2 linked regions of the Drosophila melanogaster genome follow. Changing the gene in region 1 together with any one later gene gives a genetic interaction. Each region holds a gene or a part of one and is shown on either strand. Other genes may lie near its edges.

Region 1 (6,280 bases):
CTGACAGTTTGATTGAGTTTGTGTTCTATCAGCTTTCTTCTTCAGCTGCAGTGGACAAAAATCAATTAAGCATTTCCAGTTATGTACATGTCTGGCATTCAAAGTTTATCATCCATTATTTGAATAGCATGCTTAACTGGCTAAAAAAGGACTTACATCCTCGTGTTAAAATGCTGCCTTGAAATCAATAGAGAAAACTAAATCTAATGTCTATCTACCATTCTTGAATTAACATGGAATAGGAAAGTTAATAAGATCAAAGATTTTCATTAATGCATAAAATATAAAAATATATCTTGATTTATTTTCATTGATTTATATTCCTTATATATTTTTTTTTTCCTAAAATAAAAATATACGTCGGCAACGCAGAGTTTTAAGTCTTCAATAATCATTGTTTTAAAATCCGGATAAATAGCTATTGAGAGTCATATAATACTAAAGTTTTAAATAATAAAACGTTTGTGCTTGTGAAAAGCACCGACTATAGTGACCAAGTCCACTGTCTATTTCTCCCGCTGTGCGTTCTCGCTTTTCCTCCCACTTCGACCAAATCTGCGCTAAGGGGGATGGAAATGCGGTGGAAAACTCGCACTTCCGTCGGCGGAGGAGCAGGGAGCTCAAGTGGAGCCGCAGGACGCTGGATGCAGGACACGCTGCCAGACGAAAAGGACCGACTGCTGGTTTATTAAGCAGGAGTCGGGTGACAATTCCAGATACTTTATGCAGCGCAAAAAGCCAAGCTGCGATGCGGGGCGCAAAATAAAGGCAAATGAAGTTAGTGCCAGTGAGCACTAGAAATGGGAGCCACTGTGCATTGGCCTGTCCTGTGCGCCGACTAACAAGGATAATTGCAAAAGGAAGTAACAATAAACCCAATGATATCGATGCCCAGTTGCACACATAGGGGAAAACTGAGGAAAATGGGGGAAAAACGGGCAAAATGGGGGCGTGCTGCTGCTGCGGAAAACAAAGGGAAAGCGAGCAGGGCCAGAAAGGACGCGATGGAGGAAATGGAAGCCGTGTCCTGTGGAACGATTGCGCCAGCGAGCAATCAGCGTAAAGTGCGCGCCGCTTTGTAACTGAAACGATAAAAGGGAAAAAGAAGGTGGTAGCAGGAAAGGCGAACAAAACCGAACAGAACAGAACAGAACTGAACTGAACTGAACAGAAAGATGGGTTACTGCAAAAAAAAAAAAAAAAGGACCTCGGTCGGGACGGAAAACAGGAAGGACAGCTGGGAGGCTGCAAGGAGCGGAAGGAGCAGAGGGCAGCTGGCAAACAGCAGAGGGAAAAAAGAATAAAATATCGTTTATTGAGGGCACTCCAACGGCGAATGTGATTGTTGTCCACCCATCACCCAGTGAACTCCACCCACCGCAGGCTAGCACCCCTGGTATTTTCCACTCCCCCATACCCCAGCGTTTCCCGGGCATCCCAGGCGGAGATCAAAGCCCAAGACGACGAACCTCACTTGGCTTCACTTGCCCACCGGTGTCCAAAGTCCAAAGTCCGGTGAACGGAGCGCGGAGCATTTCATTCCACGAGTGAAGAGGGGCGAACGAGAAATTGGGACTGGGAACTGCAACTTTGATTGAATTTTATGGGCATTCCAGCACAAGATCATAAATATTCGCTTTTATGCGTCCATTTTGCGCTCTCATTGTTCATTTGCCAATAATAATATTGTAATAACAGGCGAACAGCCACTGAAGTTTTTCATCACATTGATAATTAATAAACGCTTTTGCGACTTAGGCTGTCATTAATATGTTACCATTTTAATAGAAAAACGAGAGAGAATGCGTGAATTTCTCGACTGTCAGATACCCTTAACTCGACTAGTTTTTCTTCATTCTATTGGCATTCTTTTTGTGTGTGTGGCAATTGAATCAAGCAAAAGGACGGACAGACAAACGGTTAAGGCCAGATGAACTCGTCTAGTGAGTCTGGTCAAGAATATATATCCTTTATATAAACAGCATGTTACATACTTTTCAACAAGTCTAGAATACCATTTTTCATCACGACAAACGCGTAAGCCTAGCTCAGTATTAAATGCGCACATTCAATTTTAAATTGTTTCACATTAATTCATTCTTCAGAAAAATGGCGTCTTTTTTAATTAATGAATATGCGCAGAAAGTGCAAAATGTAATTTATTTGATATCCTAAATTATCATTAAATTCTGCATTAAAACTTTTCAAACAAACGGAAAGAATGGAAATCAAAAATCTAATTTTTGTAACTACCGCAATTGACAAAGTAACCGATACAAACAAGCATATTCCGAATGAAAATGAAATAAAATAAAATCCATACTCTGGGCGTGACCGAGTGCAGCGTAATTTATTTTTCAGCCACGGGTTATGACAACAGTGCGTATGCGTACTTTTAATACCAATCGCTTATACGCAGCGTGGGACAAATCAACAGGATGCCAAACTAGGTGAGGAGCCCCGTGGGCACTTGGCAATGGGAAGGGTATAGGGAGCGGAAGAGGGAGGCTGTTGCGTTTCCATCCACGACCGTATGCCAGAGCCATTTGTTGTGTTGTTGTTGCCTTGTCCTAAATGCTTTCCCCCAAACCCGAACTCTGCGTCACCACCGCCCACTTAGACAAGGACATCCCGTATCGCTGTGTCCTTGTGCCAACGCTTTCATGCACATTTATCGTGATTAGCTATTAATTGATAATAATTAACTTAAGCACAAGCCACAGATGCCAGATGAGTGAGTATGCGTGGCTGTAATGTGAGTGCGTGCGAGTGTGTGTGTGTACGGTATGGATTTCCTCTGGCCTCTCGGATCTGAAATCTGAAATCTGAATTTGACGTTCCTCCTGTTGATTTGCGATCCAAAGCCAGACACTCTGAGTGCTCGCATTTGTCGGATGTATAGCCGACATTCGCTGGCAGTTGACTGAACCCGAATCTAAATCTAAATCCAAATGTAAGTCCGTGGAGAGGAGCTCATCAAAGAAACTAATGCTCGCATTTCACATTTATTCCCGCTCCCATTTCAATATGACTGTACATTTGCCCGGAATTCCGTTTGATTGGCCACAAAAGTATGCTAGGAATCACCAACTCTTTGTAATTTCAACTCGAAAACTCATACTTACTTTGCTCACTTTGGTATTTTACTTAAATTCAGTCGAACTAAGCTCGGTTTCAGGTCCTTGTTGCCTTTCGATTCGCTTTCCTCGCTTTTATTCTTTTGGCTTTAACCAAATGTTTTGTACACATATGCACTAAGTGATTTTTGTTTTTACTTTTTTGTTTAGAACGTTAAAAAAATGTTTAAAAAAAACCAAAAAAAAAATGCTTTATTGCCGACGGATACTGGATACTACAAATTGAAATATAACTACTATCGGGTGATTCTTAGATGGTAAATTTCGTACAACCTTAGTTGTGCAGCTTGTTGATTGAGTTGGTTAAAGTTCATGAGGGATGGCAACTAAGGACGAAGCGCGAACACAAAAACACTGATTTGCAACACAAAGTCTTGGCCTGAAATGATTCCAATCTCTGATTCACACACTGTTGTTCGACTATTCATTCAGTTGGGTTCAGTTCAGTTCAGTTTAGCTTCGAATCCTTTGCGTTCACATTCACGTTCAGCTACAGATACAGATTCACTTTCACTTTTACTTTCACTTTGCGGTCAGAGTCTGGGATGATACGATGCGACTGAAGTGCTGATTGGAGTGGAACTGAGTTGAGTTGATGGCTTTAGCTGCTGCGAGATCCGTGCGGCACGTGCGAACACGTTCAGATTTCATAACCAACTGTCGAGTCAGCTGCCGCCGTCGCTGCCGCCGAAGGACCTAACTGGGCCGAAGCGCTCCGAATAGGATTCCAATGGCCGAAGTGCGAAGTCCGAATCACGAAGTGCGCAGCCGAGGCCCCAACGAGCTCTGTGCCGGATCCTTGGGCGTTCAAAGGGCTTTGGCTTTCGAAGTTGACTCTTCGGAGACACCAACCGTTGGCGAGGCGGTCCCGTCAGACTTTTGGGCGCCCATTTTGGGTGCCAGTGCCAGTGCCCAGCATCCGAAAAACGACTCTCTTAAGCGCTCTCTTATCCGCAGGAGCAGCCAAGACAGCCAAGACATCCAAAGCAGCTGGTGGCGGGTGGCTGGTGGCCGAAGTTAAGTTCCTGCGTTGAGCATGGGGGCCACCCTTGTTGCTCAAGTGTTGCACATTATGAAGCCGAAGCCAGGCATAAAACTTTCACCATTAGCCGCGTTAATGTCAAGCGCGCGCCAAATTCGTCAGCTGGCCATTGGTGCAGGGACATTTACCAGGGGGGCTTAGTGAAAGTTTTATCGGCACTTTCGGCCACATCGGCATGTAAGTGGTTGGTTGGTGCGAGATGAAGGCAACGGCAGCGCCTTATCCTCGAATGATCTTACAGATCTGTGTGGAAGGTTTTGAATGGGATCAATATGTAGTGGCCAGTGCGCAACACATGCTGTTTTCAAGGAGATGCACTCTGGAACTCGCCGCTCGAACTCGAAGCTCCGGCATTCCGACATTCCGGCAATCTGGCATTCTGGCATTCTGGCACTCTGATACTCAAGATCCTGGGCCCTCTTCTCCGCCGCGTCATAGCCATCCTGGCACTATGACATATTGTATCCACACGCATACGTGACCGGGTTACCAACTGGCGAAAGAAAGTTGTGCCCCTGCTCCTACTTGAGTCTCGAATCGTTTGAGTTCCTTCTCGGACTTGTTTACGCCTCCCGTTTCGAGAGTTGCACACATAAATCCCATAAATGACAAACTTATTAGTGGCATGATAGGAGCAGAGAAATGCCAGGACCAACAGCACCAAAAGGACCAACAGGGCGAGCAGGACGAACAGGACACGCAGTCGCATTATGAAGCGGGAAATAGAAATTAGTGACAGTTGCACAAATTACACAAATCACAAATCCAAATTCACGCCCTGGGGGCAATTCGGGGCTGGAATCGGCATCAGGCACATGTATCAAATCAATAAATTAAGCCCCACGCCAACTAACATAAAACATGAAAATTGCGGTGAAGTTGCGGAGGAGGAGATGAGATGGGATTCCTGGGATTAATTTGGTTGGCCAGCCTCGCCATTCCGCTGGGAATGCAAAGTTTCAATTGCCAAACACGGCGACCTTGGTCACCAATTTTGACCCACAATGTGCTGACCCCCAGCACTCCGGAACTCCGGAGCCCCTCAACCCCGAAGCCCGGCCAAAAAACAGGGAGGTGCGAGTATTTGTGGGCCAACTAAAACAACAACTAGCTGAAACAACAAACAGCCGGGCTACACAAACTGGAAAAAGTCTGCGGGACAAGTTTGGCACATTTGTCACAGGGACACTCTGCAGGTTCGCAGTTTCCAGTTTCGGGTTACGAGTTTCGAGTGCAACATACAGCTTACAGCATGCAGCATGCGGCATGCGGCGCATCCAATCCCTGAGCCTCGAGCTGAAGCTAAAAACATTAGTTCTCCCCTTGCCAACGAGACAAATAGTTTTGAAGATTCAAAATCTCATAAAGAAATTGTAGAAGAAAGTGAAATGCTGACTGCTAGAAAGGCGGTGTGCTGTTGTTGTAAACAGTCTGTAAAAAGTGAATACTACCCAGGTGCTTTGTCCCAGGAATCTAAGGACATGTCGAAGGGTGTTCGAATTTCCATCCTCCACTCTGTGAGTGTGTGTGTGTGTGTGTGTGTGTGTGTGTGTGTGTGTTCTGTGTTTTGCGTGTGTCAGACAGGCGATGGAGAGTGAGTGAGCAAGCGGGTGTGGGGAACAAAAACTTTTTCAGCAACTACAATAATTTAGTATAGTTCACCAAAAAGTTCCACCTGTCCGCATTCCACCACCCACTTCCGCATCAGCATCCGCACTTCCACACTACATCCACATCCGCATCCACATCCGCATCCGCACTGGCATCCGCATCTGTGTCGGACGGCCGTCCATGTGTGCGTCTAAAGTTTATTGGTAAAATTTTATTGCAGATTTTTGCGCTACTTGCTCTGCTGCCCCGCCCACATCTGCCGACGCCCTCCCTCGCCCCATCGCCATTCCCGCCACGCCCACTTTCCCCTTGCGCCAGCAACCACACACACCTTTAGCCATCGGCTTGCCGTCGTCTTGTGAAAATATTTGGGAAAACTTTTGCAATTTATCTGTTTTATAGCCAGCGACCAGCACTCACACACGAAAAAAGGCGAGCCGAAAATCGAGGGTGCGGGCACGAGAGAAGGTTCCGTTCAGGTATCTGCTCC
Region 2 (6,299 bases), on another chromosome or scaffold:
CCATCGAACCAAGGTGTATTCCAAATAAATGTGATTGGGTGTTTTTTTTTTTGTTTTTTGATTTTGGGTAGTGTTTACCGCACGATATGTTGTGTACATTGATATTAATTGGTTGTTCATCTTCATATATCTCTTCTTGTGTCTCCTCAGTCCAATTCCTTGACCAATCACCTAAATACGGGTTGTGTCCGTCCCGGGGATTTCGGATGCCTTTTGGGAGGGCATCCTCATCCTCCGAGGCGACGCACTGGAAGCCCTGCGTGATTCTGCTGTTTCTCGAGTGTGGGGGGTAAAGTCCCCCCCCTTGCTTACTCTATAGCTTTTCTATAGTTAGTTGTAATTGAAATTAGTTACAAATTAATTGATTCGCATAGGGAATTTTTTTTGTTTGCTTGCTCCTCCTCCTCATCGTATATTCTTCTCTATGTATTATTTATATTGAATTGTTTGATTTTTTTTTTGATTTTTCTATAGTTTTTGTTTTTATCTCTTTACAGTATTTAACTAAACTTTCGTAACACGTTTTCCGATATAGATTATATATGGGAGATACTTTTTCATGACAACAATAGCACTAACTGAAGTTCAAAAACGAAGAACAACAAAACATCAGATAATCAGATAATTCTCGATCCATATATATGGTTTTGTGATTTAGCGCCTCCATCGGGAGCGATCCCCTCAGGAAGGTGGGGATCGCTCAGCTGAAGAACGGCGATAAATCACAGTTGCACAAAGACCCGCCATCGCCAGTCTTGCAGAGCACCTTGCACACTTCGTCCCAGTCCGGTGCCGGAGTGGTTGTGTCCGTTTCCGAGGCGGCTGCCACGGTAGCTGCGGACACTGTTGCTTCCTCGACCGATCCTCTCCGTTCGGCATTCTCCGCGGCTCTGGAACCGTGTGTTGGATCGCCCAGCACTCCACTGGCCTTCTCCTCGTCCTTTCGAACCTCCTCCTGCTTCTCCTCCTCCTGCTTCCGCTCCTTCATCACCCTCATCCTGCGCACCTCCTGCTGGCAGGGACTGCATCCGGGCAGGGAGCGACCCATCTGACCACAAAAGCTCGAGCAGACCAAGTCGCCCGCTTTAGCTGGAAGTAAATAAGTGCATTTGATTAGTATGTTTATTTTTCAAAAAGCAAATTAACCTTAAGTTCGACCATAATAATCATTAAAGTATAATATTTTGAATAGAGTTTCAATATATTATTTTCCACTTACCCCTAGGCAGTCCACACAGTTGCCGGCACTTGGCCACATCCGTCTCCGGTCTCAGGATTGTGTTTTTGGCCACATCAGGCGTTGAAGCAACGCCCAGGCCAGCTCTGCAAGGATCAACCATAAAATGCTGATTAAATTGCAATGCAGAGTAAATTAAAAAAAAAAAAGATTTAAGATGACAGTATATGACACTCGCATTACCAAGTTAAGAACCATGATATATGCATAATTGTTATTGAAACTAGGTTTACAGATAACATAGTTTTAAATAGCACAAATGATCTAGGAAAATCTCGACTTGATAAACTGTTTTTTTTTTTTGTAAAAAATATATTTATTTCAAAACATTTTTAAATAGTATTAAACACCAAATTAAAAAATAATGCAGAGTATATTTTAAATATAAACGCAAGCCAAAATGTTCTAATTAATAATATTTGTAAATTATATATCGTAAAATTGTGAAATAATTTTGATTAGCTTTGACCCGACATTTAGAATTTATTTTTTAAAGCCTATTCAATTTTTTAAGTGAGCACAGTACTTCTGGCGACTTCGAGTGCCATTTATACTTAACATATTTGGCACTTGACAAACTACTGCACACACGCCACAAAAGTCGAGTCACGAATCATTGATATAGCCACCGATCATCAGGAATGCGGATTATATTTCCCTGACACACGCGATTGTGGGAAAACCTCGATGGAAGCCACTTGAAAGGCCGACGCGATTTGCAAATGATTTCTCAAGGCCAACATTTTAGTTGGTAAATGTGTCGTATTATTATCATTATTAGTTTGCACTTTTTTTTGTGTTGGGGGGAAACCTGCACTTGCCAACAATAAACACTTGAGTCACTTTGCGCCGAGGCACCTTACTTTCAGTAATTCCTAGAGTTTTCGATTGCTGTTTATCCGAAACTTACCCGCAGAGCTCTTTACACAGCAAACTCCAATCCTGAACTGCGCTGATGGTTTGGACGTCTTCAAGGATTTTGGCTGCTGAATGCGCTGCCGTCGGAGCAGCATCCCCCAAAGTGTCGTCCTTCAGGACGGGCGATGACGTCACAGCCTGCGCCTGCGCAGCCAGGATGAGGATTGTGACCAATGGTATGACGAGCTGTAATCCACATCCCCCCATTTTTCTCTGTCGCTTTTCAACACGCTCTCCCATCGCTGGGCTGAAAAGAGATGGGTAGATTACGGAACTGGGGGATGGGTTTTTCACGCTGGTTTGGGGCGTATTATCCTCCAGGGAGGACTGGGCCAAAATGGAGACTGTTTGGCCCCGTACAATAGGAGCAATTGTGCTCGAAATGCAATTATCGCGCTCTCAAAAATAGGCAGCAAAAAGCAGCGTTTGGGGTACTTGCCTGCGGGGCCTAATCCTTACACCATTGTTATCCCGAGCATTTGCTATCCGAATATCATTCGCTTGATTTGCCAAACCGAAAGGGGTTATGCAATCGCCTGTCTTTCGAACGCAACTGAGACTCCCACCTGGCATCCTGGCATTCTGGCATCCTGACAACGCTTTTGCAACGGGATTCTCGTCGAAAATACCTCACATAAATGCCTCAGCTAACCAACCTGCTGGAATCTTATTTTGTCAGCGTAATGACAGGCTAAACAGTCGAAATTCCCAAACTCCCATTTGTTTTCCACGGGCAACGAAAAATGTTCATGGCCCCCGGGGTGCGGAGCATTCCCTGGCCCACTGTGCTTCTGATGCCTCTGGCTGGCAGTTGAGAGTCGAGTGCCAAAGAGGACGCTTCGCCCTGGCCAGAAACGCCCGGTCTGAATTAGCCGCCCGAGAATAGCAGACCCAAGCTCCCAGCTCCATCCGCATCCGTGGGTGGCACTTGACTCCAAACATTTTCGCCTATCTGGGTTACAGGGCCTACTTGCGCTACGTGCAATCACAGCCAGGTGAGCATCCTATTTTCTGGTCGAGAGCTCATCTCATTGTTCAATTCCATTCGCTAGTTGTGCTCTTATGAAAGGGTATCGATCCTGTCTAACTATTTCTACTGATGCAAAGTATCTATCTCAATTTATTTATCTGCTATCATTAATAATAAGGAATGTTTATAATGAAGTATTAAATATTTAATGACTGCATAGTTTTATTTTTTGATAATTTTACAAATCCCTTTCAGCTTTCTAGTTTGATTAAAATCAAATAAATAGTTCTTCAAAGCTTTGTTATTTTTAGTAATATGACTATTCTTTTAACTAAAATATTCCTTAAAAATGTACATATAACTTTTAAAAGGGACTGCAAGGCGACATGCTTGTATTGCAACCATTATTTTTGAGAGTATTTTAAACATCGCTCTTAAAATGGCTTAAACCCATAATCCTTTTGTTTGTCCATGTCTGCTGCTGTTTCTGTTACTGTTTCTGTTTCTGTTTCCGTTTCCTGTTACAACTCACTGTGCTTTTCCAAAAGTTTGACTCAATTAAATCCGATTGTTCGTGGCACCTGCTCCGCTCGAAATGCTTAAATCCTTAACTCGACGGGATTTATATAAAGCTGTCCGCTACAAATGGTAGCAGTTGTTCAACTGAGCCCAAACCGGCCCAAACGAAAATCCCACTTACTAATAATAAATGTTTTTGATGGCTTTATCTGCCGGTGTCATAGATTCAAGTGCGAATCAGAGGATAGACTATCGCAGATACACCCGATCCCCCCCTCCTTTTCAGACTGGTCTGTTTGCCATATATCTGCGATAAGTGCAGACCGAGTGCCTAATTATTATTGGTAGCACATGCCGTTGAAGTGCTTTTCAGATAGCAGGCGACTTTATTTCGCCATGTTTAGTGGTTCTAAATACCATGAGCTGTTTTTGTATCAGAAATATTTGTCTGACACTTGTGATGGATGGGTTTTGTTAAAGGGTTACGCAGATGTTAAGGCGTAGGGTGCAAATTCATATCTATTAGGCGCCATATTTGTCACTTAAGGTCTTCTAAAATGTTTTTATTGTTTCAAGAAAGCAATTGAGCAATTAACAATTAAAAAACTGCGAAGAAAGTCCTTTCACACAGTTGTTGCCACATCAAAAGTAACGATTTCGTTGTGCAATTACGGCTTTATGGACTTTCTGCAACTGCCGTTGGATTTCTTCTAGCTAGTGCTACAAAGTAATGCACTACGCCCTATGAGAATGTTTTGAAAGTCATGTTGAACAAGTGTCGACTTCATTTTGCCAATATTGCAGGCATTCAATAAAAAAGATGGATCACAGGGACTAGCAAGGGAGTTATTGCCACTGTAATGGCCTTCTTAAGTTGCAATCAGTTACATCGAAAGACACTTTTCAAGTGCCAGAGCCCTCGCAACGAAAATACGCTGACGCATTGGATCCTGCCCAGGGAGCAGGAGCTGGAGCAGCAGCAGGACCAAGTGCCAAGTGCCAAGTGTGTGGTAACATCCTACGCCAGCTGCTCCGTGTGTCAGATAAGAATGGAAGTGGAGTGGGTGGAACTCTTTTGCGGCAAGTATTCCTAGGGTTCTCGTTGTTTAAGCTTCTCCAGTTTGATGGACGTCCTTTTTGGTCCTGCTGCTCCTGGGCTCTTTACCCAAGTTGCATAACATGGCCATAGATGTTCTCTGGCCCTCAAAAGTATGCTACGAAACGCGTTCTATTGGAAATGATGCAATTTCACTCTGAGATACATATCTATTTTGCATAGCCCAAGTGGGCGGGCGGCCTAGCTTTGACCCAAATTTCGTTTTTGTTCTATATACCAGGAATCTATATGCTTTGGCTTCTATATCTAAGCGCACATATGTACATATATGCGGGAAATGAAAGTAATTATAGGGTTATTTTTTTTTGTTTCATTCGACAGGAAACTCTCATAAAAAGTTGTGGGTCATTGTAAATGTCAGAAACAGTGGCAAAATTAGTTTGTTAATTAGCTTTTCATTTGGTCGCCCCATCACAATCTATATTTTCCTTTCCCTTTATCCCGTTTTATTATTTCTTTAGCATTCACCAGGCGTGCGCACATATTTCATGTGTATCTGTTGGATACTTTGGGGCGCGCATGGCCGAAGCTCCGCCCACGCAAAATGGCCTTAACAAAGATGGTTTCCGAAAAATCAATGACGTCACCCGGAGAATTTCCCGCATTTTCCTCAGCCCCACTGTTGTTGTCGTTGTCGCTGAAGGTTATGCAAGAGATTGAGGAGTAGTATGTATATACATAGGTACGCTTGTAGTGGTATATGGGCAGCCATTTTTTGGATGCGAAAAGCTTCGTAGGCAACTCAGGCGGATGCTGCTGCTCATAGCTCCGCAGATCGTCAGCGAGTGTAGGCTGCTCAGTTCCCTAAGTTTCCCAAACCGAAAGTGAAAGTTGCCCGAAACCTGTGAACCTGTGAAAATATATATACATTTCAAATCCAATAGTAATTCCCAGTCCGTTCAATCAGCGAATTGTTGCTCCTCCGTTTCGCGAGTGATTTTCAGTGTTTTTTGTTGTTGCTAGGAAGAAGAGAACTCTGTAAGTTGTCGTTGGTTTAGACCACAAGTAGTTAATCGCAGCTCCATCTCAGAGATACATTTCGATACATTTCGTACTCGCACATTCCTCTAGCTATATCTTTTCGAAAGCCTCGTCGGTGATTCGTCGCCCCCCGCAGACAGTCAAAGTGAATTACCTAAAGCAGTATATCGACGATATCCGCAGGATTATCGGTAAGACTCCCAGACGATTTTGTTGCATAAGTTTCGCACTGTCCAAGGTTTTCGCCATTAATTGCAGCTGTCGCGCTGTCTGTATCCCCATGTAAATCAAGCTTATGTATATATATAAGCTTATATATATATATACTATATATGTTCGTTCCGTCGCAGGAAATTGGCTTAACACTCACTGCGCAATAGCAGATGGCGCCAAAAGTGAAAAGGAGGGGCCCTGAAATCCGTGTATATGTGGCATATACCAAATACTTACCTCCCACTTGGAGCTTGCCCTTCAGTTGTCCTTGTACCAACAGCCCCCCCCCCCTTCTCGTTCGCCAAACTCCGCATTCCATTTTCCATTTTCCACTCTGTTTATTT

Evidence for each region. A genetic interaction does not mean that the proteins touch.
Region 2: of Dop2R (region 1) and Gad1, changing one suppresses a phenotype caused by changing the other (phenotypic suppression), as found in Drosophila melanogaster (one study listed by BioGRID).

The regions. Positions count from the first base shown.
Region 1 is NC_004354.4:20,058,930-20,065,209, forward strand, and holds the start of Dop2R (dopamine 2-like receptor), read right to left. Parts: upstream 3,778-6,280; 5' UTR 3,126-3,777; intron 1-3,125. UniProt on the Drosophila melanogaster protein: Receptor for dopamine. The activity of this receptor is mediated by G proteins which inhibit adenylyl cyclase.
Region 2 is NT_037436.4:4,085,063-4,091,361, reverse strand, and holds the start of Gad1 (glutamic acid decarboxylase 1), read left to right. Parts: upstream 1-2,617; 5' UTR 2,618-3,150; intron 3,151-3,657; exon of another isoform or gene 3,658-3,781; intron 3,782-5,518; exon of another isoform or gene 5,519-5,739; intron 5,740-5,832; exon of another isoform or gene 5,833-5,933; intron 5,934-6,299. Other genes in the region: CG14989 (uncharacterized protein), read right to left, coding at 701-1,089, 1,220-1,323, 2,148-2,395. UniProt on the Drosophila melanogaster protein: Catalyzes the production of GABA.